2 linked regions of the Oryctolagus cuniculus genome follow. The protein of the gene in region 2 purifies or fractionates together with the protein of the main gene of each other region. This does not show direct contact. Links are inferred from orthologs where the notes say so. Each region holds a gene or a part of one and is shown on either strand. Other genes may lie near its edges. The genes, in order: OBI1 and WRAP73.

Evidence for each region.
Region 1: the proteins of WRAP73 (region 2) and OBI1 purify together in Homo sapiens (affinity purification with mass spectrometry; 3 studies listed by BioGRID and IntAct, counting the BioPlex papers as one, with this or other methods). This does not show direct contact. The link is inferred for Oryctolagus cuniculus from reciprocal best matches to the Homo sapiens genes WRAP73 and OBI1.

The regions. Positions count from the first base shown.
Region 1 is NC_091440.1:33,625,448-33,628,319, reverse strand, and holds part of OBI1 (ORC ubiquitin ligase 1), read right to left. Parts: intron 959-2,872; coding exon 1-958. UniProt on the Homo sapiens protein: E3 ubiquitin ligase essential for DNA replication origin activation during S phase.
Region 2 is NC_091438.1:162,833,841-162,838,213, reverse strand, and holds the start of WRAP73 (WD repeat-containing protein WRAP73), read right to left. Parts: upstream 2,864-4,373; 5' UTR 2,765-2,863; coding exon 2,696-2,764; intron 1,407-2,695; coding exon 1,254-1,406; intron 348-1,253; coding exon 231-347; intron 1-230.

The sequences.
Region 1 (2,872 bases), on a different chromosome or scaffold from region 2:
AGCAGCATCCATTGATGCTTCACTGGATGTCCGTGTCCGGTTGATTTCAAAAGAGCGAATAGAATTTAACTTCTTGGATAAACATGAGCCCGATTTCTCACTCAGTTTTGAAGATATTTCTCCAACAGAATTTGCCATGTTATTCCCTTCTGAACTCTCAAAATCCAAGCTTTGGGCATAGCTTGTAGAACAGCAATCCCAAAATCCTGTCTTTGGGGAAGTAAAACATTCTGATTTCTTTTCATTTTCACTTCTACTTATATCATCTTCTGAAGAATCTTTATTACAAACATTTGTAGAATCACAAAAATCATCAAATACCAATTTTCTTAGATGGTTTGAGTGCTTTCTGGAACTTCCTGCTTTGACTACAGAGCTCTCTCTATTTTCTGGAGTATTAAGCTGAAGGCAACTAAGAGACAAAGGAGTACAAGGAGCTGGAAGATCATAAAGTTCTTCATCTTTGTAGGGTACACAATCACTTGGTTTATTACCCCATTCTCTTTCCAAATAAGCATCCATGTTTGCATCTGTCACATCTAACATTATTTCTACCCGTTTTTGATATAGGTCTTTGTTCTTAGAAGAATTAGGCTCTGTTTTGCTGGTACTTTCTTGTCTGGCAGAACTGGTGTCAGACAGTCTGCTGCTGGAAGGCTTTGTCAGGTGAGAACTTGAGGTGGATGAGCCAGACTGCGTTCTGGCATTGTCACATTGATTCTTTGACACCATATCCTCTTCACTATCCTTGATCCTCTTGCCATCTGCAGAAAGTACTCTCTGGCAAATGGAATCCATAGCTTCCTTCTCTTCACTTGAATGTTTTAGTTGTGTGACTTGAGATTCTAGTTCCTCTATATACTTATCACTTCGCTCCAGGGCTTTCTTGAGCCGATTAGTTTCACGTTCATACTGTTCAACTTTGGACTGAAGAGCAGCAACTGTAAACCTTCCAAACCTATAAAGAATGGAAGCAGAGTTAATCTTACAGATCAATTGTTTTTCTTTTTTTTTAAAAGTTTAAGAATGCAAACTTCCCAGGAACTTTTTAACTACACATGGCAGTGAGAAGTCAGAACACTTAATGAGTAGAACAAAAGCTATGGCAGATGTAGTATCTTCATAAAATGGTCTCCCTCCTGATGTAATATAGTAAGTACATGATAATAACTGCAAAGATCTTAAATAATATTTCTGTGGCTCAATCAGTGCAGTTTTAGCAAAGAGGAACAAATTTACTGATGATTTCCCTTCCAAGAGCTAGCTCTGTCATGTTAGCTCAAATATGCATGAAGAGTTATCCCCTAAAACAATGGCAAAGATTTATGATAACATTTGAACAGTGGTCCACATCTTGAAATATTTACATTCAATCATTTTCCTATCATACAGCAGCGCTTTACAACACATTTCTTACACAATGTCACCTTGTCAAACATAAAATGCCAATTTGAAATTCAGAAATCTTAGTAGTCCCAGGAAGAGTGGTTTTAAATACTTATTTGGACCCTTTCAATTATAGTCTCCCTTGATCTGAAGGTTTTCCTTGGCCTTTCTAAGCACTGGGCTTTAATTTATTTCAGCTCTACTTATTTTTAGCATTTTATAACTGTATGGGACATCAATCTCATTTCTTTCAACTTTGAAAAATAAAGTCAGTGCCTGTGCTTCCAATATACTATGAATAAAAACATTTTTACATTTTCTTAAAGGGAATATTTTGGAGAGTGACAAAAAAGAATGTATCAAAAATTCAGTCTTTTAACCTAGCATTATCTTTTTTCTATTATTATGTCAATAATAGGTACCAGGTTTAATTCAGAAAGTAATTTTTGAGGACCTAGTATAGGTTTGATGGTATATCTGGTTGGAGCTGAGGAGTAAGACAGTTTCAGCTCCAAAGGACATAAAATATCTAGGTTAAATTCTATCTTATCACAAATGAAAATTCTAACTTTCAGGAAACTGCTTCTTATAACCCAATAAACATAAACCTTACATTCTAACTCCATGAAAAATATCATCTCTCTCCTAAAGTTCTTTCCGAAAGTGCTAATCATCTTTTTGATAATTAGTTTTTTTTTTAATTTTTTTTTTTTTGAGAGGCAGAGTGGACAGTGAGAGAGAGAGAGAGACAGAGAGAAAGGTCTTCCTTTACCGTTGGTTGACCCCCAATGGCCGCTGTGATAGGCGTGCTGCGGCCAGTGCACTGCACTGATCCGAACCCAGGAGCCAGGTGATTCTCCTGGTCTCCCATGCGGGTGCAGGGCCCAAGCACTTGGGCCATCCTCCACTGCACTCCTGGGCCACAGCAGAGAGCTGGATTGGAAGAGGGGCAACCGAGACAGAATCCAGCGCCTTGACCGGGACTAGAACCCGGTGTGCTGGCCCCGCAGGCGGAAGATTAGCCTATTGAGCCATGGCGCCGGCCTGATAATTAGTTTTTTTTTTTTTTAAAGAATTCAAGAATTATTTGCAGGAAGGTGCTTGAGAACTACTATTAAAAAGTATCTATATCTGGATTTACCTTCTTTTTTTCCTTAATTATAAAAATAATCATGGGGCCAGCACCGTGGTGTAGTGGGTAAAGCTATTGCCTGCAGTGCCAGCATCCCACATGGGCGTCAGTTCGAGTGCTCTCTGCTATGGCCTGGGAAGGCAGTACAAGATGGCTCAAGTCCTTGGGCTCCTGCACCTGCATGGGAGACCTACAAGAAGCTCCTGGCTCCTGGCTTCAGATCAGTGCAGCTCCAGCTGTTGCGGCCATCTGGTGAGTGAACCATTGGCTGGAAGACCTCTCCCCCCCCCCCCCACTGCCTCTCTGTAACTCTACCTTTCAAATAAATAAATAAATCTTGTAAAATAATCTAAG
Region 2 (4,373 bases):
GCCCGGCCCACTGAGCGCCAGCAGCCCCCTCCACGTCTCCCCGGCACCAGGCCCGGCCCACTGACCCCTGGCATCTTCCTCTGCTCTACCCGGCGCGGGGCCTGGCCCACTGACCGCCAGCAGCCCCCTCCACGTCTCCCCAGCAGCCCCCTCTGCATCTCCTGGCGCAGGGCCCGGCTCGCCGACCCCCGGCAGCCCCCTCGCATCTCCGGGCCCAGGCTCGCACTCACGTGGAACTCGGTAGTGTTGAGGATGTGCCGGCCGTCCGGGCTCCAGCACGAAGCCACCAGCCCCGCTGAGCCCTCGTCAATCTTGCAGTGCCACTCCGGCTGCTCCAGGGACCAGACCTGCGGCCGGAGAGACAGGAGGGCAGCCCTGCACCCTGCGGGCTCGGAGCAGCACCGGGGGGCCGGGGCCTCCTGTGGAGGACGGTGGGGGGGCCCCGCAGGCCCCGAGCCCCCGGGTGCTTCCGCGGTGTTCTGTGTGCAGCGCTCGCTGCCTTCCCAGGGCGGCGCCGTTAGCTCCGGGAGGCAGAGGAAACACCGCCTCCCAGGGGCCCGCGCAGACCGCGGCTCGCGCCGCCGCCCGTGTCTGACCGCGTTCGCTAGGAAACTCAGATCGCACGGTGTGTCCTCAGTTAAAGTGAGCACAGAGGGAGAACAACTGATTGGGAGGAAAGAGGCTTCCAGAGACTCGGGCTTCCTCCGGCGGGAAGGGCGGACACGGCTTCCCCCAGGGATTCCTGGAGACACTTCTGAGCGCGAGGAGCACACACACCCCTGCGCAACCCGTACACACACACCCCTGCGCAACTCCCCAGTCACACACTCAGCACACACCTGCACGCCCCCCCCACCTGCATGAGCCCCCCCACACCTGCACAAGCCCCTCACACACCCCTGCGCAACCTGTACACACACACCCCTGCGCAACTCCCCAGTCACACACATGGCACACACCTGCACGCGCCCCTCACACACACCTGCACGCCCCCCCACCTGCACGAGCCCCTCACACACACAGCTGCACGCCCCCCCACCTGCACGAGCCCCTCACATACACAGCTGCACAACCCCCACACCTGCACAAGCCCCTCACATACACAGCTTCACGCCCCCCACACACACCTGCACACCCCCCCCACCTGCACAAGCCCTCTCTCACACACACAGCTGCACGCCCCCCAACCTGCACCAGCCCCCCCACACACCTGCACGAGCCCCCCCCACCTGCACGAGCCCCCCCCCACACACCTGCACGATCCCCCGCTTGTACATGGCGCACAGGATGAAGAGGGAGTCCGCCGACCACTCCACGTGCTGGACCTGGTCCAGGCACGTGTACAGCTGCAGGATCTGCAGGGAGCTCACATCCCGGACGACTAACCGGTACTGCACACAGGAAGCCTAGAAACAGGGCGCAGGTGACGTCCGTGGCTACGTGCTGCTCCCACCCCAAAGGCAAGAGGAGTCAATAAACGATAAAGTTGAATAATTAAAATCATTACATTTTAGTATAAAGTGTGACTATTTTAATAATACTTAGGAAACATTTCCTACTCCTCCCGGAGCTATTCCTTAAGAACCTGAAGCAGGAGGCAGCAGGGACTCCTCCACCCCGACCACCTGTAGGGAGCTTTCTCCAGCTCATGGTGGGGGGGTCGGAGCCTCTCCATTGCCTGGGGTTCACAGTCGGCAGAGGAAAAGCTGTTCCCCGGAGCTGGCTTCGCTACATTGACTTCCTCCCCACCCGAGGTGACAATGTATCAGTCTTTCTTCCCCCATCTCAGCACAGAATCCCCAGGCCTGAGTCCTCCCTGGCCCCGGAGCTCCGGCTGACTTTAAAGATTCACTTTAGTACTGGCAGGTGTTAGAACTCAGCAACCGAGGCGCCACCCTGCCGGCTCGGAGCTCAGCCCGGCAGGCAGCCCCTTCGGCCTGGGGAGCGGCTGCGGGAGAGAAGCCCAGGCGAGGAGAGAAGGAGTCCTCCCCCGCCCAACTGTTCACTCCCGCCAGCAAAATTAACAACCAGCTGACATCTACACCGGCTCTGGACAGATGGAGACCAGGGCGCAGGGAGTCGCATCCGCCCAGGTCCCGCCCCTGCCCAGAGCGCCAGCCCGGGTCCCCCCCCCGCCCGGGGCCTGCACCTGCCCAGAGCCCCTGCCCAAGCCCACAACACCTCCCAGGGTCCTGCACCTGCCCGGGTCGCCCCCACCATCCCCACCCAGAGCCCCAGCCCAGGTCCCGCCCTGCCCAGAGCCCCTGCCCGGGTCCCGCTCCTGCTTGGATCCCGCCCCGTCCAGAGCCCCAGCCCGGGTCACCCACCTGCCTGGATCCCACACCTGCTCAGAGCCCCTGCCCAGGTCCCGCCCTCCCCAGAGCCCCAGCCAGGGTCCTGCACCTGCCTGGATCCCACCCATGCCCACAACACCCCCCAGGGTCCTGCACCTGCCCGGGTCCCGCCCTGCCCAGAGCCCCAGCCGGGGTCCCGCACCTGCCCGGGTCCCGCCCCTGCCCAGGTCCCGCCCTGCCCACAACACCCCCCAGGGTCTGCACTGCCCGGAACACCTCCAGGGTCTGCACCTGCCCCGCCCCTGCACGGAGCGCCTGCCGGGGTCCCGCACCCGCCCCGGCCCTGGCGGACCCGAGCCCTGGCCCCCGGGGTCCCGGGTCCGCCGCCCCGCGCCGCTCACCAGGTACTTGCCGTCCGGGGAGAACTTGCAGAGCAGGTTGGAGAGTTTGAACGTCTCGGAGAAGTTCATGGCCACCGCCCGCGCGGGCCGACCCGCGCCCGAAAGCCCGCGGGGACTCGGGCGGCCGCCGCAGCCCCAACCGCTGCGGGCCGCGGCCGGAAGTGGGGAGGCGGAAGCGAGCCTCCGCCAATCAGGGCCGCGCCGGCCGCGCGCGGCATTGTGGGGCTGGAAGTCCTCGCGCCCCGCGCCGCCGAGCCTTAAAGGGGCAGCGCGCGACGGGGCCGAACTCGAGGGCTGCGGGGCTTCGGCCCCGGATGCAGAGCAAACGCGGGGTTCGCGGCTCGACAGGAGTTTCCGATAAGCCAGGAATCATGGGCGGTGCGAGCACGCGCGCAGAAGCTGCACGGGGCCCCCGGGTGCTCGCGGAACCCGAGGGTCGCCGCGGACACTGGCCGAGGCGGAAGCGTGCCGCTCGTGCCCGGCCGCAGGCGTGTGAACGGGCATCGTGCGCGCGCTCCCGTGTAACGCACGAACCACCGACGGCGGCCGAGCGAAAGGCCCCGAGGGAGCGAGCCCCGCGCGGACGCCACCGGTCGCGCCGCGCCCTGTCCCCACCCCTCCGCCCCCACGCCCACTCGGGACCCGGTCCCCCTACCCGGCGGAGGCCGCCGCACTCCTGGCCCTCGTAGGGCCTGCGGGTCGTGCCGACCCCGCCACGCTCAGGCCCCGCAGGCTGGGCCCCGCGGGATCCTCCCGCGCACGTCCCCAGCTCCCCGGAACGAACACAGCCGGTGCGAGCGTGCGCCCGATCGCTGGCTTCTCCGTCCCCAACCCGCGCCCCGCAAACTCTAGGGGAGCGGTACCGGTGTGCGGAGGCCACGGGAGACGCCGCACCCGCGGGAACTCCAAGGCGTCGGGTTCCCGCGGGCGGGGGACATCGCGGTGGAGCCAGATAACGCGGCCCCCCCGCCCCACTCCAGACGACAGCGCACGGCGGGGGCCCGCCGCCAAGACCCCCTCAGCACTGGCCCGCGCGTGGGTGCTGCAGCCCGGACCCTGCGAACGGGGGCCAGGACCCCGACGCTCCCGCTTTACCGGCGGGGCGCGGGCCGCAGGGGAGGTCCGCCTCATCCCGAGCGGGCCTCGGGGCGTTGGGTCCCACGTTTGGCCAAGGACACCTGTGCGCACCTTCGCCCGCGCCGAGCAGCCTGCAGCGCCAGGGGCCCGAGCAAGGTGCCGGCTACAGCCGCGAAGTTCGCATCCCAGGGGCGTCCTGGACCAACCTAGCAGAGCGCGTGGCCGGCGCTCCCGGGCGGAGCGGACCCGTCAGTGCCGCCCCGACGCCAGGTTCCCTCCTGCGCACGGAGGCCGCGGACCCTTCCCCTGGGTCCCCAGTTCCCGGCGCGCCGAGGGGCCCAGCGCCGGTGGGGACGCCGCTGGGAGAGGAGAAGGCTGGGGTGGGGAATCCGAAGCGTCGGGGCGCGGAGCCCACACCTGCTCCCGCCCCGCCCCCGGCTCCCGCGCGCCTTCCCCGCGCCCCCGGGCTTGCCCAAGGTCGCGGCCCGCCCTCGCCCGCGGGACGGCCCCGGCGCCCGACCCGCGTCCGGCCCTGCGCGGGCGGCCCCTCCCGGGCTCGCCTGGGGCGACTCGCGCCAAGCGGCGGCGGGAAGGAGCCGGG